Caenorhabditis elegans: one gene and its partner. The protein of the gene in region 1 interacts with the protein of each later gene in a pairwise test. Each region holds a gene or a part of one and is shown in the gene's direction. Other genes may lie near its edges.

Region 1 (16,496 bases):
AAAAGTTGCAAGAGACAAAAATGATCAGCGTAAAATTTTCTATCGATTGGTCAAATAAAAACTGCAAAAATTTGAAAAAATTATTTTTATTTAAGAAATTTTTTAAATTTTTTTCTGCCCGCACATTTCTCTTTTATTTTACGCTACTTTTTCCCAAAAATTCCAATACATTCCAGATGCCTTTGCCATTGTGCAGATGCCGAGTGTTATACATCGGCAGTTCGGTGCCTACAATCACAAAAGACGGCCTACAAGGCATCCAGCAGCCACTGAAGGAGAGATACCCGATTCAAGAATCGCCAGATACACGTGGAATTGACTCATGGTAAGAGTTAAATATTTTTTATTTAAAAATTGAAAATTCAGCTTAATTTTGTGGTAAGAATTCAAAAAAATATTGAAAATTAGTTGAGTTATTGCTTTTTGAAAAAAATTTTTTTTTTAATTTCCAAAAAATTCGAAGACGCGAGTTATAAAAAAACAATTTTCAAATTCACATTTAACACGCTTTGAGCTTTCAAATAAAACCCATATTGGCTAAATCCCGTTCATTTCAAAATTTGGGTCCCGCCACGAAAACGAAAATGTTTGGGTTACTGTGCTCTATTTTTCTGAATTCTCATTATTTAACTAGTCGTCATATTTTGGCTAAACTCCGATTAATTTACAAATGTTGGACCCACCACGAAAAGTTGATTTTTTTTTTTGGCGCATGGATGTGTCAAAATTCAAAATAGTCGGAATATAGTCATGATGGGGCTTAATTAAAAGCTATTTTTAAGCTGAATTCAAAAATGTTATCAATAACTTAAAAATCTTAATATCCAGGCTATCAGTGTGGTCGAACGGAGTCCTTTTGGAGTACATCGAAGGCGAAAAGAAGACTGAAACCGTCTTTTTCCCAATTATAACTCTCCATTATTGTGCCGCCGTTCGTTACGTAAATGTGGAAGGCTTCAAAGTTGGCGGTGGTGGAGAACAGTTTATGCCACTCGACAGCCCATTCGCGAATATCCCAAATTCCCCACATCCGCCAATTTTCGCGGCAATCTTCAGAAGAACCACTGGGGTTAAGGTTCTCGAATGTCATGGATTTATTTGTACAAATGTGAAGGCAGCAAATGCATTGGTCAGGTGTATGGTGCATGCCTACACAGAAACTATGCATTTGAGAATGGACGAGAGGATTCCAGGTGAGGCTGTTTGTAACCAGAATATAGAAAATTTTATGACAAATACTTTCTTAGTGAACACTTTTTTATAAAATCAAATATATCCAAGATATAAGTGGTTAAAGTGGAGTGCGGTGGTTCTGGTCGATGCACCATGTTTGACTTATCACTTTGATTGCTATATATCTTGGTTCATTTTTTAGATATCAAGGAATTTATAACTACAAAATTATAGAGCCGAATATAAATAATATTTTGTCAGTTTATAATTTTTCCTCAAACCAATGAGAATCGAGATACAAGCGTTCAAAGTTGAATGAAGTTTTTCTGGTCGATACACCATGTTTGAATGATGACTTTGATTGCTTATATCTTAATTCTTGTTTGAGTTATTAAATAATTTATAACTACACACATTATAGAGCAGAATATGAAAAATATTTTGTCAGCTTATAACTTTTTTCTATGTCAACTGAAAATTGAGATACAAGCGCTCAAAGTTGAGCGCAGTATTTTTGGTCGATGCACCATTTTTGAATGATGCCTTTTAACGTTTATAACTCGGCTTATTCTTAAGTTATCAAATAGTTTATAACATCACAATTATAGAAAAAGATATAACAAGCATTTTGTCAGTTTATAACTTTTCTCTAAAATCAATGAGAATCGAGATACTAGCTTGTAAAAGTACTGGACTTTGGCGGCTCATATCTCCTTTCATTTTGACCCTTTTCTCAATTTTTTTCACAACAATGTAGAAATACATTTTTCAATATTTTGTCTGTTGTCACTTTTTTAAATAAAACCAAAGACAACCAAGATATAAGCGGTAAAAGTTGAGTTTAGTATTTCTGGTTGATGCACCATGTTCAAAATGTTCCCTTGGCAGCTCATATATTGGTTTGTTTAGAAAAAACATGTATATTTCGAAATATTAGAAAAATGTCTATTCATCATAAAATTGAAAAAGATAAATTTCAAAAAAAAATTCCAGGTCTAAAAGCAATCAAGGAAGGATCAACTGGTGACCGATCACCAAACTCCCCGTCCAGTGAGATTGAGGAAAACTCATTTGAGGAAGATGTAGTCCCGGAGGAGAAGAATATGAAAAATTGGCAAGAAAGACGGCAGCAGGACGGAGAATATGATAGTGTGTCGATTAGCAGCAGTTTGGTGAATAAGAATAAGAAAGCTGCTAGTGAGCAGGGTAGGTGACTTAGTATATTGAAAATATCTCTGTTCGTTTTTAAGATATTGGTGTTTGCTAAAATAAGTAACATTTGTGAGGCAGTGCTAAAAAATTTGTCAGTTGTCAATTTTCTAGTAAAACTAAAGACAATCGAGTTATAAGCTGTCAAAGATCAGCTAGCTCGATGCACAATGAGCAGACCTAGCTGTAACTGATCATATCTCAGTTCATTTTGAAGTTATTAAATTCTTTTTCAGTGCATTATTATAGAGAAATTTATAATAAACATTTACTCAGTTGACAATTTTTTGATAAAATAAACGACAACCGAGTTCAGCCAAATCAGCCAAAGACAACTGTTACGATGCACCATAAGAAAAATCGCGCCAAGCTTTGAGAGCTTATATCTCCGTTCATTTTAATTGAGTTATTGTTTGCAAAACTATAGGTATAGAAAAAATAATGATAAACATTTTGTCAGTTGACTAAATTTTGATAAAAGAAACGACAACCGAGTTATAAGCTGTTAAATGAAGGGAAAATTGATGCACCATGTACAAAACGGTGCCAGGTTTTGATCACTCATATCTCCGGTGATTTTTAAGCTATTCAGTTTTTTTCAACCGCAAAATTTTAGAAAAACCAATATTAAACATTTTGTCAGTTGGCAATTTTTGGATACAACAAACGACTACCGAGTTGTGAGCAGTCAAAGTTGAGCTAACCTGAGGCACCATGTTAAAAACGTTGCCTACCTTTGATTGCTCAAATTTCCGGTTATTTAAAAAAAAACCATAAAGATTTTGTCAGTTGACCATTTTTTGATTCTCTATTTTTTTTATTCTCTAATATTCTAATTTTCAGGCGGCATCCGCGGAGCCCTTGTCCCGTTCGACGAGCCCCTCCGCCGCGCTGGCTCCGACAATGATCTCTCCTATCGTGGACCCCCACCACATCATCCATACGGACCTCCTCATCCGATGCACCATCCCTATGCAATGATGCCTCCGCCATTCGGCTTCTTCCCTCCACCGCCACGTGGACACTTTCCACCTCCTCCACCACATTTTATGGGTCGAGGTATGCCCCCACCATTTATGCCTCCACCACCACATTTCGGTATGGGACCACCACGTGGATTTATGCCGCCCCCGCATCCAATGATGTTCCGAGGTGGACCATACCCGCCGTTCTTTCCTCCACCACCACCACATTTCATGAGGCCTAGTAGCCCACCGACTGATGGTGGACCAATTATTACTGGGCCAGAGTCGGTTTATGGGACAATGCGTCGAGGAGCTTATGAAGAGCCAGCTTATGTTGGAGCAACTGGAGGATTCCCGGAGGCTAGCTATCAACCGGCTAATTATGGTGGAGATGGTTATGAGACATATTATGATACATTCAAGAAGCGAGGAACACTGAAGAAGGGGGAATCGGCGTCGATGGCTTCCACGAGAGCCGATAGCGCCTGGGATCAATATGAAGCTGGGATCTATAGAAAACCACATATCAATGAGAAAGCTTTTTCGGGAACTTTGAGGTAAGAAAAGTTAAGATTGAACGGAAATTCACAGAGATAAGAGCATTAAAATTGACTTTGTGCATGGTGCTTTGTACATCAACTAGCAATACACTTTCTCAGCTCATATCGCTGTTCCGGTTGGTTTTATCAAAAAATTGCCAACTAACAAAGTGTTTGTTATGAATTTTTCTATAATTTTGTAGTTGATCAAATTTTGATAGCTCAAGAATCAGCCGAGATATGAGCAAGTTTTAAACATGGTGCATCGAGCAAATACTTTTTTACCACTTATATATTGGTTGCTTTCGGTTTTATTAAAAAAATTACCAACTAACAAAATGTTTGCTATTAATTTTCCTATATTTTTGTAGTGAAGCAAGTTTTGGTAAAATTCAAATGAGCCAAATGAGATATAAGTTTTTGAAGCTCAATTTTTCAACATGGTGCATCGATAGTGATTGATAACTTCAAATTCCAGATCAATGGCCGCCAAGGAGACAAGTAACGCTACGCTGAATCGATCGGAGCACGCCGAAGTTGCATCGCAAACGGTCGAGACGGAGGTAATTGGTTTTTTATTGATTTTCTAGTGAATTATCGATTTTTTAAATCATCGATTTTCAAGGAATTATTCGATTTTCTAGGAAATTACCGATTTTTTGGTAAATTAATCGATTTTTGGGGTAATATCGACTTGCTGAGAATTTATCGATTTTTCTTAGAAAGTGTATTCTAGAAATTTATCGATTTTCCGAAAAATTATCGATTTTTTGGTCTTTTTTTGGTACAATATCGACTTTCTGGGAATTTATCGATTTTCTCAAAAATTATTGATTTTTTTTTGCAGATAACCCGCCCCGACTCTCCACCAGTTGACTATGAAGCCTTTGAGAAGATGAAGCTAAAGGAAAATAGCCGACGCGCTGCCCAGCCCACTAATTAATGAATATTTTATCGATTTTTTCCCCTGAAAACCCATTTATTCTTTCTTCCATCCACTACAAAATTCTATAATAAACCGCCAATTACTGGTCTTGACAACAAAAGGAAATTGTTGAATTTTATTGTAATTTTTGAAAAATTCTTAATCTAGAACTGCCCCTGCCCCCTTTATTGTGCCTTTTTCTGTGAGTATTTTGACATATATTTATAATAAGCCGCATTCCTTGAATATTTATATTTAAAATAAAAATCTAATAAAAATTCAAATTTTTCCGAAAAAGTACGCAAAATTTCGTCGGGTTTGATGTATTGTACGCAATTTGCAGTTTTTGGGAGAATCGAGCGGTAGTTTAACTTGCGTATTTATATTTTTTCAAAAAACATGAAAACCATCAAAACTTGCGTTTTTGAGTTGTATTTTGATTGGAAGATCACTGGATTTCGCGTAAAATATCAATTTACGTCATATTTTGAGCTTTTTATAGTTTTGCTGAATATTTACTGCAAGACTAGTTTCTCTGTTTTTCTCAGTTTCCCCACAACAAAAACCACTTTGTTATCTGAAAAATCCATCAAAATCCGCGGATCAATCCGCAAAAATGCTGCAAAACTAGTTCTACCGTACCCATTCAAAGGCGCATTCGAAAAGATATTGCAGCGGGTCTCGACGCGAAATCCGCCACCGTATCCGTTTCTAGCGCGATTTATGAATTTAAAACCGATTTTAATTGATTTTCAACAGATTTTCGCCGATTTTTCGGCAGAAAATCGATTAAAATGTCAAAAGAAGCGAATTTCTCGTTTTATGGAGCCCTGCCAAGCTTCAAACCGACTCGACACTGCTGCGGAATCGTGGAAAACTCGGTAAACATTTTTTTTCACTTAAAAAGTCTAGAAAACCACGTGAAATCTCAATTTAGGGTCAAAATTTGTGAAAATGAACATAAAAAATCTAAAAAACATCGATTTTCTTCAGGTTCTCTATCTTCTGCTGACAGCTCTCACCACCCTCCAACTCATCGTCTTCATCGTAATTTTTATGCACCCGGAGCTGCGAAATATGCTCAATCTGAATCCGAATTTGAAGCAAAATCAGGATATTCTGCTTCTTATACTCACTGCAATGTCTTCTATATGGCTGCTAACTGTGCTGTTCAGTTTTGTTGGTTTTATGAAGAAAATCACCTATTCTCACTTGCCACTCATCGCTACTGAGGTAGAATTCGAGAAATTTGAGAATTTTAACCGCGAAATTCGAATTCCCGGTGAAATTTAACTAAAAATATGTTTTTTCCAGAGAGATTTGCAAAATTCTGCAATATGTCGTCAAATTCGGTGTTTGCGTATTTTCGACGCTACCGTACCCCGCGGAATTCAAATTTCTAGTGGGAAACCCGCAAAAAACGTGGTTTAAGGGTGAAATAGCACTGGGAATTCGAATTTTTCAATGAAAAATTCTCAAAATCTCTAAAATAAAAAGTTTCTGGTGATCTTCTGTCTCGTCGCGACCGCCCTGTTCGCCGCCTTCACTTGGTCAATTTCACCGTCGGATTATTCGAAAATTCCCATTGGAAGCTCGCCGAAAAACCGAAATTTTCAACTTTTCAAGCTCATTTTCTCACTGTTTATGGCACTTTTCCACGTGTACTACACGTATATAGTGTATTGTTTGTGGAGAGACGGCAGAAAAGAGCAAAAAACCGAGGAATTTATTCGAAGACAACATATGATTGATGAAGTTTGCGAGGAAATGTTGTGGGAAGAAGACGAGCGAAATTATCAGGAAAATAGGTAGAAAATCGATAATTTTCGTGTGATTTTACTCTAAAAATTCGGATTTTTCGCTTAAAATCGTTAAAAATCACATAAAAATTGAGTATCGAGAAATGCGCCAGCGAAATTCAGAATTTTGATGGCGCAACTCTTGATACAGTTAACATTTCGCGGTTTTTGAACGAAAATCGATAATTTTCGAGTGATTTTTTCTTGAAAATTCAAAATTTGTACTAAAAATCGTAGAAAATCAAATAAAAATTGAGTATCGAGAAGTGCGCCAGCAAATCTTGCTGGCGCATTTCTCGATACTGAAAATTTCGCGATTTTTGAACGAAAATCGATAATTTTCGTGTGATTTTACTCTAAAAATTCAAAATTTGTACTAAAAATCGTAGAAAATCACATAAAAATTGAGTATAGAGAAATGCGCCAGCGAAATTCAGAATTTTGATGGCGCATCTCTCGATACAGTTGAATTGAGTGATTTTCAATAAAAAATCGATAATGTTCATGTTGATTTAACCCTAAAAATTCAAAATTTGGACTAAAAATCGTAGAAAATCACATAAAAATTGAGTTTAGAGAAGTGCGCCAGCAAATCTTGCTGGCGCATTTCTCGATACTGTGAAAATATCGCGATTTTTGAACGAAAATCGATAATTTTCGTGTGATTTTACTCTAAAAATTCAAAATTTGATCTAAAAATCGTAGAAAATCACATAAAAATTGAGTATCGAGAAATGCGCCAGCAAAATTAAGAATTTTGTTGGCGCATCTCTCGATACAGTTGAATTGAGTGATTTTCAATTAAAAATCGATAATTTTCATGTTGATTTAACCCTAAAAATTCAAAATTTGATCTAAAAATCGTAGAAAATCACATAAAAATTGAGTTTAGAGAAGTGCGCCAGCAAATCTTGCTGGCGCATTTCTCGATACTGTGAAAATATCGCGATTTTTGAACGAAAATCGATAATTTTCGTGTGATTTTACTCTAAAAATTCAAAATTTGATCTAAAAATCGTAGAAAATCACATAAAAATTGAGTATCGAGAAATGCGCCAGCAAAATTAAGAATTTTGTTGGCGCATCTCTCGATACAGTTGAATTGAGTGATTTTCAATTAAAAATCGATAATTTTCATGTTGATTTAACCCTAAAAATTCAAAATTTGATCTAAAAATCGTCGAAAATCACATAAAAATTGAGTATCGAGAAGTGCGCCAGCAAATCTTGCTGGCGCATTTCTCGATACTGTAAAAATTTCGCGATTTTTGAACGAAAATCGATAATTTTCGTGTGATTTTTCCTTGGAAATTTAAATTTTGCACTAAATATAGTAGTATCGAGAAATGCGCCAGTAAAATTGTAAGCTTGCTGGCGCATTTTTTGATACAGTGACAACATCGTCTGTTTTAGGTAAAAATCGATAATTTTCTAGTCATTTTACAGGAAAAATTTAAAATTTTGGCTGAAAATCGTACAACTCACTAAAACTAAGTATCGAGAAGTGCGCCAGCCAATTTCGTTGGCGCATTTCTTGATACAGTACCAACTTCGAAATGTTTACTGAAAAAAACCTTATTATTTTAAAATTCTCGCACAAAATTACGAATTTTTCACAATTTTCACCCAAAAAATTCAACAAATTTTGAACTTTTGGGTGGAAATTTCCGAATTTTTCGAATAAAAAATCAATTTTTCACACTTCCAGTAGTGAAATAACCTGAATTTTCCGATTTTTCAACTAATTTTTCTCTCAGAACCTTCCCAATGACCGGAATCTACCCGCAGGACCGCTCAATTTCCACTTATTCCGAATCAGAATGCTCAATTTCAATGTGCTCAGCCGAAATTCGAATCAATGAAATGTACGCCGCATATCTTCAGGATCAACGTTATTTCGACACTTCTAACTATGGAAAACGCAATTATTAGGCGGAAATTCGAATTTTTCTCTCACTTTTTCTTTCATTTTCCCGTTTTCTTCTCAAAAACTGTGAATTTTTCCTGTGAAATTCACCAAATTTCCCTATATTTCCCGGATTTTTATAATTTCTGTGTTAATAACCCCAGTTTTGATTTTCTACTTGCCATTTTTCACTTGTGAAACGAATAAATTATCGATTTTTAGACCGGTAAATGTGGTTTTCAGGGAGTTTTGGGGCAAAAATTAGATTTTTTAGCGGTTTTTAATGAGTTTTCTAGTTTATTTTTGAAAAAAAAACAAAAAAAAGTTTTGAAGGGAACAAATGCTAAATTTTTGCAAAGTTGTTTTAAACCGAGTTTTCTCTAGTTTTTATTAATTTTCTTGAATTTTCAGTCAATTTTTAAGTTTTTATTGCAATTTTAAACTAACTCGTTTCATTTTTCTCCTATTTACATTTTTTTTTCAGCTTAAAATGAAAAATCCCCCAAAAAAAAATAAATCCACAAGCTCTTAACTCTGTGCGGCACCATTGCGGAACACCGTGCCGCTTGCTTGCAAATGGGCGGGGCCTAGCTTCAATACACGTGTCTCAACGGTTTTCCACATTTTTAACGTTAAAAAACTGAATTTTCTCCGATTTTTCTCAATTTTTTTCCAAAAATTTGTTTGAAAATGTACATTTATTGATTTTTGTAGATAATTATCCACATTTAGCGGGCAAACTCCGCGTTGTATATAATGGAACCGCCCAAATTGTTGGGGGTTGTTTTGGTGAGTGTTTTCTCGATTTTGGAGTAGAATTTGTTAATTTTGAGCGAGAAAATCGAAAATTGAATGCGTTTTTAGCCTTGGAATCATGGAAAATCGATTTTATTGCGAAAAAAAACTGAATTTTTACCAATTTTCCGCTAAAATTCAATTTTTCAGACAACCGCCCTTCTCTTCCATATCGCTTTAACTGCAAAGCAGGCAGTTGTATCCAGAAAGTCAAAATTATGCGGGAATGTCGAGTGTGAAGGTAATTTTTTGCCTGTTTTCAGCCAAAAATCGAATTTTTCCAGAGGTTCTATTCAAAGCACGCGTGAAACGGGTGATGGGCATCAATAACGATCCGAGTTTTCTGAATTTGGCCGAAAACGCGATTATTTCTGTGGTGGCCGTCAAGTTTAGCGATCGGCCCGATATTATGGAGGGAAAAGTGCGTTTTTTTGACTGAAAAAGTGCTAATTTTAAAATTTCCAGCTCAACGGCGAGGGTTCGAACGGGTTTTTCTACGCCGGAGCCATCGACATCATGCCATTCGCAGAGTTTTTGCGTACAGCGATCACTGATAAGAAGGAGATGCTCATGATCAGTCAAAACCCGGCAGACATCGGTGATAAGCGAATCGTCGGATTTTTGCACTCGGAAACCGATTTGGTACGGGATTTTAACGCTAAAAATGCTCAAGCGGCTGCGGAGAACGGGCTCCCGGCTCCCGAGCCGATACCGATCCCGGAACCAGCTCACACGGGGCACGGACATAGCCATGGAGGCCATGGGCACAGTCACGGAGGTCATGGACATTCTCATGGGCATCCGGCTCCAACTCCAGCTCCAACTCCGGCTCCAAAACCTATCGAAGAAGCTCCAAAGCCAGCCGAAGAGCCCGTCAAGCCTGCCGATCTGGAAATGGACGCAGAAATCGAGCGGCTCATTAAGGAAGAGGAAGAACGCATGAAAAACGTCGCCGAGCAGCCTCCACTGGTGCTTCAATCGCTTCCAGAGACCCCAGAAGCCCAGAAACTTCCAGAAGAGCCCCTAGAGCCAGTCACTCCTGAGCCAATACCAGAAGCTCCGGTTCCAATTGCTCAATACATCCAGGAGCCGACGACAACTCCAGCTCCTCTGGAAGCTCCAGCTCCAGTGGAAAATGCTCCAAATCTCCCAACTCCAACCTTTTCTGTGGATGATTTGATGGCTCAAGCGGCTCGAGACGCTTTGAATTCGAATTCTATAGTTCCTGATGCTCCAAAAGTTGAAGAGCCCGAGCCCGCTCCAACTCCAGCACCAGCTCCAGCCGAAGATCCAGTTGTAACCCCGGCTCCGGAAGAGCTCACCGTAAGTTTTCATTTTTGTGTTTTTTCCGCGTTTTTCCATGTTTTTGCCCCGTTTTGTGACGTTATTGTTGTCAGGGCGTCTGCTACAAAGACGACTGTCAAGGATTGCAGACACCTCCGCCACCAGCTCCACCGCCACCGGCTCCAGCAGTTCCAGAAGAAGCTCAAGCTCCAACTCCGGCTCCAGAAGAAGCTCCAGAAGCTCAAATCCCGGCTGAAACTGCCCAAATTCCACCGGAAAACGCGGTCCCAGAAGCTCCAGAAGAGCCGGCTCCAACCACAACACCACCACCAATTTCAGCGGGAGAAGCCGAATTCTTGAAATGGGAAGAAGCTCGTCAGAAACGAGAAGCCGTCGCTGCTGCTCCGTACGAAGATGCTCAGGCTCATCAATTTGTCGCCTCACCGCCCCCGCACGTCTCCTCGGGGCTCATTGAGCTCATTCGTAGCTCTCTTGGGCTCGGGAATATCACGGATTCATCGGTTTTGCTCGTTGTGAACTTGACGTTTGTAGCTGCGAGTTTTCTGGTTTATATCATTATCAGAAGCTTGTCGTCGGGCGGAGAATCTGATATTTTGGATAGACAGTGAGTTTGCAGGAAGAAAATGCGCAAAAAATGAGCCCAATCATGTTTTGTAGATTTACGGGGTGGTTTTTGTAGATTTACGAAGCGTATGTAGATTTACGGAGCCTTTTTGTAGATTTACGGAGTCTTCGTGTAGATTTACGGAGTCTTCGTGTAGATTTACGGAGCCTTCTTGTAGATTTACGGAGCCTTTTGTTGTAGATTTACTGGGCTTTAGTAGGTTTACACGGCTTCTTGTAGATTCACGGAGCCTTCTTGTAGATTTACGAGGCTTCTTTTCAAAGTTTCCTGTTGATTTACGCACTCTTAATAGCTTTTCGCTCTTTTCACCGAATTTCATTAAAATTTCAATTTTCAGGGCTCATTTCGACCTCATGAACAAGCACAAGCAGCTCCAGCTCCAACTCAATGCTAAAATCACCGAAATCCAGAATCTACAGGCTAATGGAGCCGCCGCTCAACGCCCAGAGCAACCGAATTATGAGCCAGAGCTTCTTGCATTGAGACAACAGTGAGCCGACTATAAAAATTGTCATTTTTACCCCTAAAACTCGTAATTTTCAGACTTGCTCACCTTCAATCGGAGCTCCAAACCGCTCATGCTCAACGTCAGGAATTCGAGATTCACTATCATCAAATTCGTGAGCTCGCCGAGCAAAAGGATCATCAAATCGCGCAGCTCACCGAGCAGGCCAACGACTATCAGGAACGACTCGAAAAATCGCAATCCGAGCTCCAAGAGCTGGCTCGTCACGTGGATTCGGCTCGCGCAGAGCTCATGGATAGTCAGACGTCGGATTACGGTAGACAGCAGGAGCTGATGGAGAAGCAGGCTGAGCTCGAGCAGATTTACGTGAAAATTGATAATTTGACGGCGGAGAATCGAGATTTGACAGATAAAATTGCTCAGCTTCAAGTATCAGATAGCCTAGAGCTTGAGGAGCTTGAAGAGCTTAGAAATAAGAATTTGGAGCTCCAGGAGCAAGTTAAACAGCTTAAGGAGGAACTCGAAAAGGAGAAGAGTGTTGCTGGATCTGGAAATTCGGGTGGATGGTCGGATATTGATGATAATGAAGTTGTTGAAGCTGTGCAACCCATTGAAACAACTCCAATTTCATCAGAAAACTCGGAGAATTTGAAGAAATTCGAGGCTGAAATCGCGGAGCTGAAGGCAAGCTTGGAGAAAACCGAGAAAGAGCTCACAAAGTACCGTAATCTGTACAACGAGAAGCTCACCGCAATCAGTGATAAGGAGAATCGGAGCCAAATTGAGATGGAGCACAAGTTGAAGAACGCAGAGTCGGATTTACAAGAAGCCAAGCGGCGAGCCGAGGAGATTGGAGCCGAGAAGAAGGAGCTCAGTGATCGGCTCAATGAGATGCTCAAAAATTTGAATCAAAGTATGCAAAAATCGGCGGAAAACGACAAAATGCTTACACAGCTTAGAGAAGAAGCGTTTGCAAAGGAGAAGCAGCTTTTGGAGCATGATTCTGTGCTCCGAAAGAAGGATGATAAGATTCGAGAGCTCGACGCAGAGTTTAAACGTGTGAAAATGGAATATGTGAAGCTCGAGACAAAGAGTTTCCACGATGTTCGAAAGCTTAACATGGACGTTGAAGAGCTCAAAACTCAGCTCTCAATGGCTGGAGGTGTCACGAGCTCGCGGAGCATTCCAGATCGCCTTGTTTCTCCACTTCAGGAGCCTATTTGGGATGAGCCCGAGCCAGCACTGCAGAGAGTTGTTTTACCATTGGATGGATATTCATCGATGAGAAGACGATCGACACGTCGGAGCCAGTTGCCGTTTGGAGCCGAGTCACCGTCGGATCAGGAGAAGAAGCAGGCGGCGCCGAGTCATCGGAGACGATCGAGAAGTCATGGAAGGCAGCCACCCAGTTTTCATGGTAGAATATTTGCGCATTTTTCTGGAATTTTCCGACTTAAAATGCTCAAAAAGTTGAATTTTTGCCTGAAAATTTAATGAAAATTCGTTAAAATTGAAATTTTTGAGCAAAAACCTGAAATTTGAGTGCTTTTCTCGTTGAGCTTTTGCCGGAAAAAAATGCTCAAAAATATTGATTTTTCACTAAAACCCTGCAATTTATCGAATTTACGAGCTAAAAATGTTCTCAAAATTTGGCTTGAAAAACTGTAATTTTTCCGATTTTTTCAGGCTGAAAACAAGAATTTTCACAGTTTTCTGGTGCTTGCTTCGAACTGAAAATGCTGTAAAAACTAAAAATTTCGCCTGAAAATTTACGGGAAATGCACAAAAATGTGAAAAATGACGTAATTCGCTCGATTTTTTTGTAATTTTCACAGAAAAATCGTTGAGTTTCAATAAAAATGCTAGAAAATTTCATTTTCGCTCGAAAATTTATCAAAAAATACTTTTTCCTTCTAAAAAAAGCTCAATTTTCGCTCAATTTTCAGTTTAAAAAATTGAAAATTTGTGATTTTTCACATAAAAATTATGAAAAAATTCAAATTTCCCCCAATTTAATATCCGAATTTCTTGCAGATCCCTATTCAATGAATCCATATCTGCCCGGCTCATCGGATTCGAGCTTTATGAGCACATCTCAGCCACAATTCCTTCCGCTTAACCGTCAACACAGTCGAAGTGGACATTTGATGAGCAATTCGGCGAATGGACCATATTCATCGGGTGGCTCAAACGGTGGACGGAGCCCACCACCAGAGATGCCGCTGCTCAGCGCGATTCCACCGCCAGGAGCACGAAAACCGCTTGGCAAACGGCCAGGTACTGGCGAATTTTGATTTTCTCTCGGTGAAAATGGCCCCGGAAACTGAAAAAATCACGATTTTTGGCTAAAAATGTATGAATTTCAATAAAATTTCAAATTCTGGCGATTTTGAGCTAAAAATGTCATTTTTCCAAGGTTTTCTACTCCAAAATTGTCGAAAACTGCAAGAAAGTTGAAAACAATAACTATTTTCAGATTTTTGAGCCCCAAAGTACTCGAAAATGTGGAATTTCCTGTGAAAAATTCTATTTCTTATCCGAAAATGCGAGTTTTGGCCAAAAAATCGAAAAAAAAACTGAAAATAGTGTTTTTTCGCAAACTTCCTGCTAAAAATTCGGAAAAAAAACTGATTTTTACCCGAAAATTTCTTTAAAAATGCTAAAATCTGGGCTAATTATCTTTTACTATGATATCTTTTACTTTTTTACCTTTTACTCATCCATTTTATCGAAATTATCTTTTACTCATTTACTCATTTTTTTTCAAATTTATTTGTTTTATCTTTTACTCATCCATTTTGAAAAAAATTATCTTTTACTCATTTACTCATTTTTTCCATTTTTTGCTAAAAATCAGTTTTTCGGGTAAAAAAGTTGTCAGGAAGCCGATTTGGGACCTATATTTGGCCAAATTTCTTTAGTTAATGATAAGGTGATCGTTATCTATTAGATAAAGTACTCCGACCACCCATCCGGTCTTCACTAGTCATATATCTCGATATGTATATTCAGGCAAAATTATTGAGAAAACTGATGGAGTCCTTTCTGAAATGTCTTTAATTGATGGAATTAACAGTTTTTATCGCTCATCTACTCAAGTTTTCCAATTTTAATTTTTTATCTTTTACTCATCATTTTGAAAAAAAATTATCTTTTACTCATTTACTCATTTTTTTGAAATTTTACCAAAAAAAGAGTTTTTCGTGTAAAGAAATATTTTCAAGCCGATTTGGTTGATCAAACTGCTCAGTTAACGTTGGTTAGTGATGTTCTATAGATAAACTGTTGGAAAAAATTTTCCAACTTAAAAGTTGCCATTATATCATCAAAGATCCAGACAAGCAAGTTCAAGTGACTATGTGGAGTCTACCCACTCAAAAATTTTTTTTTTCAAAAATCAAAATTTTGAGAAAATTGATGAAGTTCTTCCTGAAATGCATATAATAGATGAAATTAACCGTCCTGAAAAAAATTTACTACACTTTAACTGGAATTTTAACCAAGTTTTTGCCGATTCAGTTACCCAACGTAGAATTTTGAGAACACAAGAGAACACAAACTTATATCAGATCATTTGAAGAAGTTCAAAAAAAATTCTGAATGGATCCGGATTCGAACCAGGATTGTTTCTACTGAAGAGCCCGCGCTTTACCACTTCACCAAACAGGTGAGAGGCGCCCTCGTTTCAAAGCTATATATGAAATCTGTTCCATCTTGAATTTGGTAACTCAAATTGACAACTCTTCATGATAACACGAAAGTATTCTATTCTGGAATGTTGTGCAACTATTCTTATCCACAGCTAACTTGTCCTAATTGATCTTATCCATAACGGGAATGTAGCTTATTTGATTTTGTAGTCTTAGAATGTGCCTGTATTCTTCAGTGAAACCCTCCCGGCGGCCTAAAATGTTTTTAAAACTATTATTTCCGAGTATATTTTTCTAAACTTCACTAGATAACAGTTTGGGAATTTCTGTGATTCATCGAAAAAGCCTTTTGCGAAAAAATCATCGTAGGCCTAAAAATTTTTCTCAAAAACACCTCGAGTCTTGTATTTTCGTGGAGATAATATGCTCAGTAATTTTTATAATTTTTTTTTTCATCAAAAGCCCTGTTTTCATGTTTAAAACGTCTTTTATTACTATTTTATTCCTTTCAAAAATCGAAATTAAAAATTGTTCGGAGTACGGTAGACCTCGGTGTTTGCGTACTTTTGCGTACGGTGCATTTTATTTGACGACAATTTTATTTTTGAAAGGAATAAAACCGCAAAAAAAGACGTTTTAAGCTCGAAAACAGGGCTTTTGATGAAAAAAAAAATTTTTGAGTGGGTAGACTCCACATAGTCACTTGAACTCGCTTGTCTGGATCTTCGATGATATAATGGCAACTTTTAAGTTGGAAAATTTTTTCCAACAGTTTATCTATAGAACATCACTAACCAACGTTAACTGAGCAGTTTGATCAACCAAATCGGCTTGAAAATATTTCTTTACACGAAAAACTCTTTTTTTGGTAAAATTTCAAAAAAATGAGTAAATGAGTAAAAGATAATTTTTTTTCAAAATGATGAGTAAAAGATAAAAAATTAAAATTGGAAAACTTGAGTAGATGAGCGATAAAAACTGTTAATTCCATCAATTAAAGACATTTCAGAAAGGACTCCATCAGTTTTCTCAATAATTTTGCCTGAATATACATATCGAGATATATGACTAGTGAAGACCGGATGGGTGGTCGGAGTACTTTATCTAATAGATAACGATCACCTTATCATTAACTAAAG
Region 2 (16,619 bases), on another chromosome or scaffold:
CCTTTCTGATTTTTACAAAGATTTTAAACCAGATAACCAAAAATAGCTTGACTACGCTGCTCTCAAAAGCATCCAAGCTGAGAAAAAATGCTCCAACCGAGATGAGTGGGAAAGAACACACCAGACATATAAACACGCCTTCACATGGGATAACAAAGAACAGAAGCTATCTGGTGTTCTTTTTCGAAGAAAATAAAACACAAGAAACTGCATAAGAGCAAATCGATAACCAGTGTGACACGCGGTGCGCAATGACACATCTGGGCAGGGGGGAGAGGTGAACGTTGCAAGAAGATAATGATGTGCTCGTTTACGACAATTGAGTAGAGTGGTGGTGTGCAGGCGGCAATTGATTCGAAGAAAAACCGAGGAAACGTACGTTCTGTCCCGTTCCCTCCCTCAACCACAGACGGTCTCCGTGTTGTTGTACTTGACCGGGTTTTGTCGACCTTGAAAAGTTTCCATTTAGTGAGGATTTTTCTTTATTGTCTGTTAATATTAGCTGCAATCTAGCAGAGTTCTCTTGCGTGAAAAGTCAAGTATCGTCGGTTGGAAAATTGTCTAAAACCGCTTCATTGCAAAAATATTCAAATATCATCCTAAAAATTGCCACAAAAATTATATAATGACATTTTTTATTGATAGTCAAAAAATCCCAAAGCTCAATTTCCGCCTATCAACATTTTTAAATTCAATCGAATAAAATTTCAACGAGTTTACCGTACAAAACCTTGACCTTGAATTTTTAATTTCAAAATTTTTGAAAAATCTAATAGTAAAGAGTGTTTTTTAAAATGATATTCAATCTTGTTGAATTGAACTGATAATCATTTAACGGAAGTTAACAACATGTTTCTGTATGATTCGCACATTTTCAAAAGCAATTCAAACACTCAAAGGACATGCTTTGCACAGCAAAAATCAAACTTATTTCAAACTTGAAATTTTGCAAACCGAAACGTGAGATTCTGAAAGGAAACATTCCGTTTTATCCATTCTATGTCTGTCCATTTTTTCTTTACAGTAATCCATTCAAATTTGAAAATTGAGTTTTGAGCAAATACGACACGTTACCCTAATTTCCCGGCATTCATGTTCCGATCGCCTGCACTCCAACATTTTCTACTTCTACTTTGTTGTTTGTGCAAGGCAAATTTCAAAAACTTTTCAAGTTGGAATTTGTCAATATATACTTGATATATATTTTTTAATTTTATTTCTTGAATTGTTTGTAGAATAATTATATAAAAGAAGTGGCTCGAAATTTTGTGTCTATCTGAATGAAAAAGCCATTGTATTAAAAAAAAAGCACTTGATAATTAAATTAAAAAATAACAATTTCTCACAAAATAAATCTGAGCGAAAACAATTTAATTTAAACAATCAGCCCAATATAATTCTTTTATAGTAGTCATACCCTCGAAAATATGTAACCATTATTCTAAATTTTCAAACATTGATTGATTTTCATTACGAATGAGTTTACTTAAATAAAGGTATCTAATATATTTTTTTAGATACGGTAAATTCTCAATTATGGGTTTGAATGCACTCTTCTTGAATGCTCCTCTGATAATTGACAAAAAATAATATTTTAAGACAATTACCCTTTGTATTACCCGCTGTCATTTAAAAAGTTGTTTTATTATAAAAAATAAAAACGTGTGGAATATTTCTATATCTTCAAGGATAAGAAATAACTTTTCTAAGTCTAAAGAGGAAACGTGTAATATATCACGTTTAACTTAAATGGGAAAATTAATGAAAATTCTTTTTTATTCAAGTATGAGGGAATGTAATACACAAGGAACGTAAAGATTTAAAACATGGGTCTATCAGTTTCTCAGAAAATCCTGTTTTTTTTTGCATTTTCCATGATATTAAAATGTTATGACTTTTATTTGCTACATTAAACAAATATTTTTATGAAACAGAACTTGTAGCAAGTGAACTGCCAAAAATTGCAAGACTCACTAAAATAACAAATGTGTGTTTTTAAATTACCGTTACTTTTTTTTCAATATTCACTGACTAAAGTAAGTACACTATGGTTTTTGTTTTAACATTTGGAAATTGCTGAGTCTTGAATAGTGGTAGTTTATGTCATATGTCGATTCTACTAGTTACCATAAAATATTGTTTGTCTGAAATTTAAGATATATAAGCTACCAGAGTTGAGTTGATTGTGAGGTGTATGATTATTGACAGAAATATAGGCTAAATCAATTTTATTTAAAAAAAAATTGACATTTTCAAGTATAACTAGAATTGTTTAAATTTACAGAAAAACATGGCAATTAATAAGTGTTCACCTTTGGAAGTCGACCAAGGAACACATATTTTTTTTAAATTTCGAAACTCAAATACGTTTCAATAATTTGTATTTGTACATTATCATTTTTAACGTTTACGAAATCCGTAAAAACCCATATTTTGTGAATATTCGCTACATTACCGAAACATTGTCTAAAATATTCTTAAGAAAAACAATGTTTGATGTTTTAATTGATAATATTTGGTTATGTTGAACTATTATGAGTGCAATCATATAAAATCCCATATTCCAAAATCATAACGTTGACTCAATTGTTAAGAATCTAATATCTTATAATAATATTAAATTAATCTCATATTTTTTAACATCTCCACTTCTGTTGTAAAATATGTTTTTAAACTTTACTTCAAAATAATAATAATGCAATTACTAACAATAAACTCACCACCAGCACAAAGTGTTTGTTTGGAATGAAAGACTTATCAATTGTAATTTTTGTTTTGATTTTTGTCTGTGTTTAGAAATTCCGTCCCTGTGTTTTTTTTGTTTTTCCTAGCCCCAACAATAATTTATTAATAAACTCTTGCACAAATGATGAAAATGAAATTTGATGCGCTCCCGTTGGCAAAGGTTTACATTTCCTTCATTTTCCTATTTCATTTCCCATTTTCATCATTGTCAATTTTCAGACCTTCAAACATTTGGGATGTGACATTTGGTGAGATGTGCCAAAAAGGCAAAGTTGAGAAGTGACATCAGATATACAAGGTCCTTTTTGTGTTTGGCCAGAGATGGGTCTGGGGTGTTTGTTTGTGACGAACAAAAAAGGCTCGTTTTTCTTGATTGCCACTCTTCGATAACTGAACAGGGAGCAGCAGCAAATAAAAATGATGTAGCATGTCAATTCTCCGAGGTTTTCTTGGATTTTTTTCATCTGTACAATCTGTCATATTATTTCTAATAGTATTGCATCAATTTTTTGTTGCAAAAGCCAAATCAAGAATTTGAATATATTTCTCAATAATATATTCACAATGACTCCCTATTGACGCAAAAATTGAATTATATTGATTTTTGTATAAGTTTTCGAAAAATGGTCTTTTCAGTGGGGGGATTTGCACAATACAGTAATCGTACGGCGGTAAAATGAAGTTTCATAATAAAACTTTAATTTAAAAAATTTTTAACTGAAAAACAACAAAATCATAAGAATTACCGAGTTTTTATCGATAGTTACTATGGAAATCGACAAAGTAGAACAGTTTTTGAAAAGTTGTACACTTTAATGAAATTTTGATATTTTGAATCTGTGTAGCTGGGCTGTGAATCGGCTGGTAGAAGGAGTTCAAAATTTTTATAGTGTCAGCAAAGAACTAATTGATAATCATTAATTATTACAGTATTTAAAAAGAATCAACCTTAATTTGAAAAAAAAATTGAAACACTGAAAACTCTTACGACTATCTCTTACGACTAATTGGCTAGGGGAACACGGGTTGATGCTGTTACTGATAAAATAACTACGGTATTTTGTCAATTTCTTTTGATAAATTTATATTTTTCTGTCTTGTATGAAACAACAATTTATTAAATTTCTTGAGCGATTAGCGTCCAATTGCTATTAGAAAAGAAATGAGATGCTTCCAATAGACACACAGAATGAGACAACATTCTTCATTTGTAAGAGGGCGCAAAATTGGATCCTTTAAGTATCCGTTTCATCTGTTACTCTTGCATAGTTGAGTTGACTGGAAGATGAATGAAAAGAAACGAAACTTGAAACTGGAAATACTCTCATCATTATACTCTATTTCATTTTCCTCTTTTTTTCATTTTCTTTTATGAGCTTCCCATGCCATAAATTTTTTATGGGTGAAAAATTTCATTGAGACAAAGTTTCTGAAAGGTTGTAACAATAAAATAACTTTTTGTGGAACCTTTTTTATTATTTATTTGGCCAAAAATATACAACTTATAAAATTGATGAAAACTTTTATTTTCGAAAAAAAAACAATAGAAAAGCCGAATAAAAAATCTTTTGATATGTGAACTGCAAAATCAAACATATTTTGACTTATTCAACAAACTTCCGCAACACTATAACTATCATTTTGTGTAAGAATTCGTGCAAAAAATTGGAAGTACCTTTCTAGTTTTTCCTATTAGACTTGCACCCCACTCCATGATTCCATTTTGACGGCTTATATCTCGGATGTCTTATTTTATCAAAAAGTGTTTCACTACCAACAAATAAGAGCTGTTTTGCACATTTTCAAAAAGTTGACAATTTGTTTGATAAAACCAATTAAAACCGAAGTGTAAATTATCAACTTGAAGCAAATGAGATACAAGTCTCATACATATGTAGGTAAACATGTAATATTTAATTTATGAATATTCGTTTCATTTATTTTTATCCACGAAATTTTGGTAGTTAATTTCTAATAAAGGTAGAAAACAATATGTTTTCATATGAACACAATGCTATGTAGCTGGAAATTAATATTAACTTAGCGCTTCGCCGCGCTTACAACTTTTGTCAACTTTTCTTCTTCCGCATCGCACTGGATTGGAAATCAGAGGAAAAGAGCGACGAAATAGTAATAGTAGTCGTAGTAGTAGCCGTCCGGACATGAATCTGAAGCTGCGTCTCCTTTGGGGAAGTTCATTTCGCAACGCCTTCTTCCGTTTCTCTTGTTTTTTTCCTCCTTCTTCTTCTTCTTCTTCTTCTTATTCCATCTCGGTTTATTTTCAATGAGAACGAGAAAGGCAAGCTGGAGCAGCTAGGAAACACTACTGCGAAAGAAGAGGACTGAGAAAGTGAAGAGCAAAGAAAAATGAAAAACAAGCAGAGAGAGAAAAGTAGTCGTGCTTCACGGAATTGTGGGGAGAATCGATGAGATCTCAAGTCAGAGAGCGCGAGCTTCGTTTCTTCGTCTTCTTTTTCTTCTTTTCGTTGAGATGCTGCCGCTTCCTCTACTTTTGCTTCTTCTTTTTATTTTCCTACTGCTCTGTCGTTTAGTCCCGCGCGGCCGTTTTCCTTGTTATTGAAAGGGAGAGAAAGAGAGGGAGCAAGAAAGAAAAATGGAAAGAAAAGGAGAGGGACTAGTGCCGTACACACCAAACACGAATGAGCCAAAAACGCTTGTCTCAAAAAAAAAGAAAAAGTTTTGGTGCAATGCACCGCTGCACTCTAACCTCACTGCTCCTTCCCTACCTCATCTCACTTTTTGTATTTAGGCACTTTGCTCGTGCATTTTTGCGTTACTGTTTATTATAGAAAAACCAGCTTTATGAACTAAGCAGATAGCTAGTACCCAATAAAAACATTCCGAAATTTTCATGTATCCCGATGTATACTCCATTGATTATATTGCATCATTTTCCTCAAAATTACCAGGTTCTAAACATATTATTAATCTATAAGATATTAGACCAAATGCACATAGTGTAAAAGAAAATTTAGCATGTAATTATAGGATTCAAGCTTTTTTAATACCTTTCGAAATAGACCCCTATAATTTCTTCACTGATCTTTTTCAATCAGAACGAACATTTGTTTTTTGCTGCATTGAGGCAATCGAGCTAACAATTTTCAGACGGTAAAGTACCGAAATCTGTGGCCTTGCTCTTTTATACCGAAAAAAGTCTAAAACTATCTGATTGCGAAACAAGTCGTTCTGAAAATTAAAAAAAAAGTTATGCCGGATTAAAGTATTCGGAAAACAAGGCTAAATTTCAGCTAAAATCTTTATTTTCCAATTTATCAGTGCCGAAGTGCATTTGTACATTGTGCACCCATCGACATTAAAACAAAAACAATCTTAATCAACGGAACAAAACTTAATCAATTTCCGAATTATGCATAGTGATATTATGGAGAGAGAGAGTGATATTAGAATACAATTACTTCCATGAGTTGTGACTTTGATAAAATAAAAAATGTTTAGATTTTAGCTGAAAGTAAGTTTTATTCCGAAACTTTGAACCTCCTTAACTTTTTTTTTTTAATTTTTGGAATTTTTACAAAATCCGGTACTTTTGACTCATTTTAAATCTAAAAAGCAAATTCTAAAAGCGCGATGAGTGTGTCTATTCCACCTTTAAAAATATCTAAAAATACATGATTATTAAAAGTAGAATATAACACTTTTAACTCCCACTCCGGTAGTTTTTTTTTCAAATATAGCTTTTTGACCCATTGCATTTTGCGTTTTTTCACTTCACTTCCCCTTGCACCTGAAATATTCAATTTGCACCCAAAAAAGAGAGCACTTCTCTGTAGTACAAACATGCGCAGTCTGTTTCTATTCTTCCACAACTCTCTGCACCTTTGTTTCCATCAGTATTCCCACATGCACTTCTTTTCCTTGTGCCCTCCAAAAAATATTTTATTTTCTTACGAATCCCACGTTTTACCCACATTGTCAGTGGACCACTGATTGCTGTCAGCTTTTGCCAGGGAAAACCTTTTACCAATTTCTCTCTATCTTTCGTTGTCTTTTTTTTGAAAATTTTCATACACACATAAATGGACATACATTCTTGCGACAACGACACAAGACCCTTTCTGGGTCCTTCCTAACCTTTTTCCCTGCTCGAATGTTTGCAGACGCAATAGTTGAGTGATGTCAGTTATTGACGGAATGTTTTTTGCCTTCTCTCACGTCCACTTTTTCTTGCCCAATACGTTGAAACATTCGAACTGCGCTGAGAAATTGACTCTGTTTGAATTTTGTAAAATTTTCGATGGTAGTTTTTCTAGGTTTTAACTTAAAATTTGTAAATAGCTTTATTAAAACAAAAATAAATTTTTATTTTATTTTTTAATATACTTTGAAACATCTCCATGCTATTTTCAAACAGTTTTTGCTCAGTTCGTGAACTATTTTTTTCCGTACTTTTGAGAAAGTTTTGAATCTGAAAAAATACTTTCTGGATTTCATAAGTTGTTATTCCAAAATTATATATTTAAAATGCAACAATAACTTTCAAAATTATGCAAAAATTATTAAAAGATAAGAAAAACGGGTACTTGTGTATTACATGCCCTCATTTTAAAAGTAATTTTTTAAGATAAAAAAAATGAAAACGTGAAGCATATTCTTGTATTTTTGGGCTTAGGAAATAACCATTTCTAAGCCTAAAAAGGAAAAATGTAAAAAACCCACACACGCAACTTGGGTATTTCAAATATAGTGTTTTTAAAAGTGCATATTTTAAGAGTAATAGTATTAAATAATTTTGATGTGACTTCAATTGTTTTCAGGAACATTTTATGTTTACCATAACCACAAAAACATATACATAAGTAAAAAACAATCAATTGTTTTATCTCGTAGTGGGTTTTTATAGGTATACTTATATTATGATCACTCAAATAACAGATAGAGTTTGAAAACAATTTGAAAATATGTTAAATTGTCATTCATTTTTCAAACTTTGTCCAATTTGATGAAATGTGATTTGAATGCCTTATTTTTAGGTTCAGAAACAGTTTTGTCCTCAAGAAAACCGTACTACGTTTTCACATTCATAACTTTGAAATTCGTTCCGATAGCGTTCCGCTAATAAACAAGAACTCTCAAATGTCTCTGATATATAACAAATCTGAAAAGTATTAATGCACTTCCAAAAGGTAATCTTTATCTTTGAAACATCACATTTACCCATCTAGAAGTTTGTTAATTCTGTTTCTTGTCAGCTATATGAATTGATTCATAACGGATTTTGTCCGCCTTTTATATATCTTCTCATAGTTAATCTAATCTTCAAATCGTGAAAACTCTTTTCATATAACACATTTAGAAATCCAGCCGATGGAATAGGAAAATAGTATATATATATATATATATGGATATGGATATATAAGTGTTGCGAATGTTTAATATTCTCTTTTTTTGAAAAGTTTGTTCGATTGTTGAACAAAAATGTTTTGCTTTTGCTGTGAGTTTTAATAATTAGTTACTTCATAGTCCTAGTAGGAATTCTGAACGTATCTGAAAGGGCATTGAAGGGGCGTGAACTTTTTGGAAAGGTGATCCCTCGTCCTGTTCCCTGTTTGTCTGTCCCCTGTCCTCACCTCCTTCGTCTTCTTTTTCTGTCGTTTTATACTTCTCTTTGCTATGCATTCATGAACAGATAATCCAATTTGAGGCTGAGGCCTGCGTGTGTATGTGTGTGTATGTGTGGAGGCCCTCCAACGAAGAAAGAACAAAACTTGGCAATCTTGAGCATATTGGATAAGCTGCCCGCTGAGTTGCTAATTGTCAACGTTTGGCACAAACGCCACATAGAGCCATCTCGGGATGGAAAGGGAGAGAAGACTGGTTGGGGGAGAAAAGAAGGGTAGAGCCTTTGGAGCATTTTTGTGTTTTGCGGGCGTTGCTCCATCCCTTCGTCGTTTTCTCCACCCTGCGTTTGCGCATCAGTCGCCACACGCCGCTAGCCCCCGAGTCCTAAACCCCTCCCTCCCATCTACACACATCCATTTATTTATTAGAAGAGCTCTGAGTAAAACATGAACTATTCGCTATCCGTGGCCTTGTTTTATTCATTGCTTATATCGCATTCGCCCGGGTTTTCCTCCTGGGCGCGCCTTGTCTTTTTTCTTTTCCTCCCGTTTCACCTCCGTTTTTCCTTTCGCCCTCTTTCTCTTTCCTTACGGATACGGGAGGCTCCCCCCACCCCTATCTTCAAACCTTGTCTTTTTTCCGTGCTCAGGGAAACGAGCATGAATTCATTGTCTCAAATGAATGTCTCCTTTTGTGCATCATTAATCTTGCATCGAATTTTGCTTTTTATTCTTACATGCTTTTGTCCACTTTGCACAAGCTGTCCATTTTTTGTCAATTCAAACATCAGCTTGAACCTTTACCTGTCCATGGTTGGCCTTTTTTTATGGCGAAACCTGGCGAACCCAATATCCATCACCCTTCTATTCCTTTTCTTTTCCCGTTTTCCTTCGCTTCCCACTTCCCCACCTCCTACGCTTATTTCTTATTCCTTTCCCGTTTTAGTGCTCTCTTTCTCTTTTTTGCAAAAAGTTCTTGATAGCAGTAAAGAAAAGAAGAGGAAGACTATTTTTGGATGTCCCGAGTTTCCCACGGTATTCATCGACGTCGTCGTCGAAAATGACCACATCCAGTCTTACTGGGCGCTCATGTCTTGGAAAAGGCGTCATTTTTCAACGTTTCTAATCCCGGACGCTCTTATTTTTCCTCTCTCGGTTTCCCCATCTTTGACGCTGTTCTTTTTTTGTTTCAGCGTTGATCCTGTTTTCTTGTTGGCCTTTATTGACATACAACTCTTAAACCGAACAAATTCGTTTCTATTCTTTCTATTCGGATTGTTATCGCGCTTTAGTCTTTTTATACGCTATGATTTCACATGATGCAATAACTCCTTATTACCTTAAAAATCAAACTTCAGTGCCTCATTAAATATAATCATGGACGATCCGTCGATGATGCCGGATTTATCCCATTTATCTGCAGAAGAACGTGAAATAATAGAAAATGTGAGTTGTTCCAGCACGAACCCCCTCCCCCCCCCCCCCCCCCCCCATCGTTCATTTTGCCCATCCGTCTGCTTCTTGTGGGGTTCAAAAAAGTAGTTGGTGCGGTGTGAGTCCTCTGTCTCGGAGCATGACGGGCCCCCCGAGGGGTGAAAGAGCGAGAAAAGGGGAGGGGTATTACTTACAACGCCGTGAGCACACGCAAAATAATGGATATGCAATCAAACGAGTGTGTGCTCTTATGTACATTCGACAAGAAAATTGGCATGATATCATGCGTGCACATACATATAGAGAATACTCACTCAGAACGCTCATGATTTATGTTTTTTGCAGGTCTTCAAACGACAAAAAGATGAGGAGGCAAAAGAAACACAAATATCACAGTAAGAGTTTTGTAGACACATAATTGCATTGGTATTTCTTCATGCGAATGATTTTCCAGAAAAGCATCTGAAGAATTGTCAGAGTTAGACAAACAGATCACGGAGCGGAAAGAAACATCGAAAAAGCTGGTTGGCACACAAGATGACGCGATCTGTCAAATCTGTCAGAAGACCAAATTTGCGGACGGAATTGGTACGTTGTTCCTTTTCCTGAAGAAGCGATGAGAGCAAAGGGTCCTTCTGTCGCCCTGAGATGAGCCTCGTTTTCTGTTCCTAGTAATTCTCTCCGCGGCGTCAGAGAGCCCCTAACCCTTGGCTGTCATCGTCTCTCTAAAAGGACATCAATTTAGCACAAGATGAGAGGTTTTTCAGGCCACAAGTGCTTTTATTGTCAATTGCGTAGCTGCGCCAGATGTGGAGGTAGAGCACAGAGCAAAAATAAGGTACGAGCGGGAGTGAAAGTGTGGGATGAAATAAGGGGAAACATGAAAGAGAAAGGACAAATTCTGGATGACTGCATTTGAATAACAGAATAAAAACCAATTTGAGCAAAATCGACTTGAACATTTTTGCGATATGATGTTGCAATGTTTATATTTTCACAAAAAAAATCTAAACTTTACAATTTATTATAAAATCATGTTTAATTTTATAGTTAATGAATCTAATTTGGAAATCAAGCGAAATAATCGTTTTTACATCTAAAAAAATACGACAGAAGCTGAAAAACAATAGCATCCATTGTTTGCAAAGTAGTTTGGAATAAAGAGATAAATAGAAAGTATTAGCCCCGTGGGTGCACCGACCGATAAAAAAGTAGAGAAGTGAATTGAAGAGAAGAAGTAAAAAGCTTTCAGGCAATCTGGGCTTGTTCGTTGTGCCAGAAACGTCAACAAATTCTTGCCAAAACAGGCAAATGGTTCCAACCCGAAGAGCAGCCGCAGCCGAAAATTAGCGGCTCCGAGCCAAGCCCTTCGCCCCAACCACTAACTGACGACAACGTACCAGAACCGCAGCAGAGGCGAGCAGAGCCGCCTGATAAAATGTGAGTTTCTTCCGGTTTCTTTTACTTTTCCAAGTTTGTGTTTGATTGTTACATGTTCCTTTGAAGCGTTAGTTTCAATCAATCACAATTCAGACTAATTTTCATATTTTCAGGAACACTCCAAATTATCAAAACAACCAACAACCCCGTGGAATGGGAATGCAGCCAAATCATAATCAAACTCAGCAGAATTTCATGAATCAGAACCAAAATTCAAATCAACATCCAAATCAAAACCACAATCAGAATCAAATGCAGAACCCGCATCAAAATCAAAATCATGTTCAAAATAATCATCAAGGAGCCAACAATCATCAACAGAATAATCGAAGAGCTATGCAACAACAGCCAATGAGTCAAAATCAGGCAAATCAGATAAATCAGATGAATCAAAACCAAAATCAACAACAGAGCCACAATCAGAATATGACTCAAAACCAGAGAAACCAGGTACTTGAAGTTGGAAAGTTCCACGATTATTTCAAATTCTACATGTAAATAATTCAGACTGGCCCCCAAAACCAACAAAGGACAAATGACTCTCGAACTATGAAACAAACGCCTCAACAGCAGCCCAGTCAGTATCAAAACAACGTAGGCGCGGCACATCAACACCATAATCAACATGGACAACAAGAGCAGCATCATCAACGTAAGAGCCTCCAGGGGTATAAAAAGAGAAAGTGAAAAACAAAACAAAAAAGTGTTGTGCGCTAAAATTGCGAACGAGACGCAAATTGATATAGTCTGGATAATTTCAGAAATGAATGAACAACGGACGGATAACAACAGAATGAGAGAGAATACTAACGGGCAAGGAGGAATGTTCAATAGGCAGCCGTCATTAGAGGTGAAGGGATCAGGGATATCAAAAACGAGCTTTTGAAAAAAGATTGAGCAGCTTATTATTAGGGTGATACTTCTGTAAAAGTAATGAACAAATGTGAAGAATCATCTAGAGCGGAAAATTTGGTCAGAATTACAGTACTGTCGTACAAAGTTCAGAGTAGAAAAATATATTAAAATGAAAAAAAAAACGAAATTGTTTCTAATTTAGCAAACTACGCCCATGAACAAATACAATCACGTTGAGGATGATGGCATGAACCAGCGGTAAGTATCCCATAAAGTTTAAAAACTTGATACCCACTTGCTTTCAGACCCACGTTCTACACTGGAAATTCCGAGAATGACCAAAGACAATTTGATGGCCAAATGCAACAGGGCTCACAACAAAATAATCAGAATCAGAACCAAAACAACCGAAATCTTAGAAAAAACACAGTCAGCCGGGTAACAGAGGAGGATTATGCAAGTTCGTCAAACTTCGAATCTAAGAAACGTAAGATGATATCATATCGATAATACCTTGCTAAATTCTATTTTGAGAATCAATTTCAGAGCGGAACAACTCTTCACAGAGTCAGTCCAACACGCAAGGCGTGCGAGCATGTCCTTCTACTGACGACCATTTGAACCGGGTGAAAAATCGATTGCATAGGTGAGCAAGTGTAATTTGGCTAATGGAAAAAATAGACAAACTCAATTGAGTAATGTCTTTTTTGTACTAAGTGCTCAAGCTTTGAGTTCATTGCTTTCCCTCTTCCAGTTACGTCTCCATTTTCTCATTATTTAGCATGACTTCCTTTTTGTTCTGCTGATCACTTTTTTAGTCAAACCAACAGCAAAACAGAAACCAGAAGAGCGCCTTTCGGTTTCAATGCAAATTTTTAATGAGCATTGCCTCATTTAGCTTTTTTCGCTCTTCATCAGTAGTTCAATTTCACATAAACTGCATTTTTTGTCATACATTCTTCTTCATTTTATTTGTTCAAAGTAATTGTTTGAAGGCAACTTCGATCAATGTCATCTTCTGAAGAGGATATTATTGCTGGAGGCGGTGGTAACACTTTGAAGATGTCTACGTCAGCAGTTGTGGCCTCTGGTGGGAAAACCGCATTTCATGATGATATGGGAGCGTCGAATGTGCAGAGGTTGTCCGAGGAATGCAATTCTGAGAAGGGTTTGTGTGCGTACTCTTGAAATCCCATGTTGACATTTTGATGAGTTTTTCAGACCTCCTTCGATATATTTATGGCGATCATAAAAACTCGGATTCATCGTCGTTGGGCGCTGGTGTAGGCGGCAGTGGTGGTGGCGGTGTCTTGAGCGGAAACAGCGTGCTGAAAAGTAAATCACATGCTTTACTGAAGGGGTCTTACCAAGGGGGTTTAGACATGCAAGCTAATCGAAGGCGTGACAAATCGCTGTCCTTGTCACCATCGAGAAATGATCATTTTGGAACAGGGAGCATATCTGGCGGAGATTTGTTGGCATCACGGATACGAACATTTTTATCAGTAAGCCTGTTTTGATACAAAAATTATAACTAAATGTCCTACATATTCAAAAAAAAAAGTTTAAAAGTTTGACAAGTTTCCAATTGGCAATGTTTTCAGCATCCTGTAACATGGCAACCTTCTGCTGATCAGAAAAAATTAATAGGGCACATGATACTTCATCGAACTGAAAATTCTGCAGCCAACGGGGATCTCGGTTTAAAAATTGTAGGCGGCCGAAGAACGGATACCGGGAAGCTCGGTGCATTCATTACTCAAGTTAAGCCTGGCAGTGTGGCGGACACCATTGGAAGACTCCGTCCTGGTAATGAGTTTTGAAGTGAGAGACTTTTTTCTTCAACTTTTTTTTCAGGCGATGAAGTAGTAGAATGGAATGGACAGTCTCTGCAAAATGCCACATATGAACAAGTATATGATAGCATCGCTGCAAGCAGATATGATACTTCTGTCGAGCTGATTGTTAGTAGGAGTGCAATGTAAATATACATTTTATTTTTAAACTCTGTCAACATTTTTAAATCTCGTCTTTCCAGTATTCCTGGAGGTGACGACTTCCTCAACCTTACTCCCTCACAAATGTCATCCTCGGCGTATTCAAGAGTGCCATCTGCATATCCATCTCAATTTCAGCGTCAATTACCCAACCCTGACCTTTTTCTTGGTACAATTAGAACTGAGAACTTCAGAATTAAATAATTTGTTTTCAGACATACATCCCGCTTTACAACAATTATCATTACCACATTCACAATCAGCCGTATTCCCTCATAATAACACATTGACTTCACGCAATCGTTCGACATCAAGCTATTATTATTCAGGTATTCTAACCATGTTAACTTTGGTGTAGATATTTTTTTTTGATGAAAAATAGTTCACATTTTGTTAAAATGTCATCATGATTTTTTTCTAGATGTGCCCGACCTTGGTGTTCCAAGCAATAGGGAGATGCAGGAGAGCCAAGCTTTTGGAACAGGACACATATTTGGACGAATAGAAGTTTCATTTGTGTATTCTCATCATGATCGACAACTCTCAGTTGCTCTCGTTCGTGGGTTTGATCTACCACCAAGATCCGACGGGACTCCCAGAAACCCATATGTGAAAATATTTTTACTGCCTGATAGAAGTGAAAAATCTAGACGGCAGTCTGCTGTTATAGCAGAGACACTCATGCCAGTTTGGGATGAAGTTTTTTACTATAATGGCCTTACTGAACCGATGTTGTTGCAAAGAGTACTAGAGGTTTGTTTTTAACTTTTTAAATTTTGTTTGCATACTGAAACTTAACTTTTTAGCTAACTGTCTGGGATTACGACAAATTTGGTACAAACAGTTTTCTTGGCGAGACATTGATTGATTTGGCGTCAGTGCCACTTGATGGAGAACATTCACTCATGTGCATTCTTGTTGATATGGATGACGATAACCCGCTGAGAACGGTAATTAGTATTTTCAAATTCCATGTTATTATTCTCACTTTTTTGCAGCGTTTAAAATTGAGAAAAGCGTCATACAACGCACCGACACGACGTCCGCAGTCGGAGCTCAATTATTACGATCACTCCTCCAACTATTATGACCACATCAGTCAAAACATAGACAAGCAGCCGCATCATCATCATCTTGCCCCAAATGACGAGGAGAATGATGAATACATTGACGACGACGAGCTTGAGAACGACATTGACCTGGCGACAGGCGGTGGCGCGCGGAAGAGCAGGACATATAGACGTGAGAAAGGGATGCACGGTGGACATGGGTATGCTGATTGGACACAAAACCACCAACGTCAATCAGGCTACACATCTGATCATGGGTATGGAAGGCAAAACATGATTGGTCGAGCCTACAACCGACGACAGCAAAGACGTCCGCGTAGTGCAACCGCACTATCGCAAAGTAAGTGTGTAAAAAATAGGTGACAGAAAATGCATGTGAGAGTTACGTCATGAATGTGCAGATTAGTTGAAAGAGTCGGGCTTCACCTATTAAATTATTCATGAGTCCTCATCAAATTTGAATGTTTGGAAAAAAAGAGTTTGAGTTATTTTCAGTGGAAAGGGAGGATATGTACGATCCAACAAGGAAGCATCGGGATGACAATGAGTACTCAATGAGAGAATCGTAAGTTATTTATGTTCAGATACTTGCTTCAAAGTGTAGTGATTCAGATATATTTTATGAAAATAAAGAACAATAACTTTTGAGCAGTATTTAAAATATAAATACGTTTTATTTCTCAACTTATAAACATTAATTGTTAATGCATCCCAAGCAGCTTGTATTATGCTTTATAGTGTTCGACATGGCTCGCAATATTACTTGGGTGATCAGCCGTTGTACGAAGATGGACGCTACAAGATTTCGCAAGGCCAGATGACGCCAAAACAGCATAATCAGCAACACCAGCCACATCCGTTGTCGCAAGCTCATCAGCAGCAACAGACTGCCGGAGTACAACCCCAACACCATCAGGGCTTTCAACAACAGCAGCACCCACAACAACCGAATCAACAAATGCAACAAATGCAGCCTCCAATGCCTAACCAGGGATATTATAGTGATGGAAGTGAAACGCTAAGTGTGCATTCAACAAATAGCATGCCAACTACGTACGTCTTACATTTATAGTTATGTTGCAAGATGTTAAATATATATCAGCTAAATTAGGTATGAAATACCGCTCCAACTATTTTACTTGTTTTTTCAATAAAAAATCAAACGCATGAGCAGCTATTAGACAAAATGAACAAATGAGCACCAAAAGATAACGTGATATGTTCCAGAATGACAACTGTCAATAGGAGAAACATGAATGCAAACAATACTTCGAATGACAATACTTCTTTTGCTGAAACTCCCACTGCCAACACTAACCGAGTCCCAATCAAAGAGACTAAACAAAACTCTTTGGCAAGTTCGTCATCTGTGGCAGGCGGAGGCTCTGCTGCTAACAATGTGATGAAGGAGCGAAAGAAAAGTTTAATGACACGTTTTATACCAGGAAGGGGAGCAGGTATGCATAAGCATGACA

What was found.
Region 2: the proteins of R148.3 (region 1) and unc-10 interact in a two-hybrid assay, tested with the Caenorhabditis elegans proteins (one large-scale study listed by BioGRID).

What each region holds. Positions count from the first base shown.
Region 1 is NC_003281.10:3,166,109-3,182,604, forward strand, and holds the start of R148.3 (DUF4476 domain-containing protein), read left to right. Parts: upstream 1-9,222; 5' UTR 9,223-9,272; coding exon 9,273-9,305; intron 9,306-9,461; coding exon 9,462-9,552; intron 9,553-9,595; coding exon 9,596-9,732; intron 9,733-9,776; coding exon 9,777-10,634; intron 10,635-10,708; coding exon 10,709-11,220; intron 11,221-11,578; coding exon 11,579-11,731; intron 11,732-11,784; coding exon 11,785-13,124; intron 13,125-13,741; coding exon 13,742-13,984; coding exon of another isoform or gene 13,985-14,001; exon of another isoform or gene 14,002-14,060; intron 14,061-16,496. Other genes in the region: R148.5 (PID domain-containing protein), read left to right, coding at 177-325, 829-1,193, 2,167-2,379, 3,226-3,904, 4,365-4,449, 4,734-4,829; R148.4 (MARVEL domain-containing protein), read left to right, coding at 5,606-5,692, 5,805-6,044, 6,309-6,619, 8,368-8,542.
Region 2 is NC_003284.9:7,273,408-7,290,026, reverse strand, and holds the start of unc-10 (Rab-3-interacting molecule unc-10), read left to right. Parts: upstream 1-9,704; 5' UTR 9,705-9,725; coding exon 9,726-9,794; intron 9,795-9,943; exon of another isoform or gene 9,944-10,082; intron 10,083-10,127; coding exon 10,128-10,177; intron 10,178-10,236; coding exon 10,237-10,370; intron 10,371-10,424; exon of another isoform or gene 10,425-10,509; intron 10,510-10,549; coding exon 10,550-10,620; intron 10,621-11,034; coding exon 11,035-11,222; intron 11,223-11,335; coding exon 11,336-11,672; intron 11,673-11,729; coding exon 11,730-11,874; intron 11,875-11,983; coding exon 11,984-12,072; intron 12,073-12,279; coding exon 12,280-12,335; intron 12,336-12,382; coding exon 12,383-12,564; intron 12,565-12,623; coding exon 12,624-12,723; intron 12,724-13,072; coding exon 13,073-13,245; coding exon of another isoform or gene 13,246-13,251; intron 13,252-13,298; coding exon 13,299-13,582; intron 13,583-13,681; coding exon 13,682-13,886; intron 13,887-13,934; coding exon 13,935-14,058; intron 14,059-14,115; coding exon 14,116-14,243; intron 14,244-14,289; coding exon 14,290-14,403; and 11 more. UniProt on the Caenorhabditis elegans protein: Regulates the efficiency of a post-docking step of the release pathway. Acts after vesicle docking likely via regulating priming. May regulate the conformational changes in syntaxin.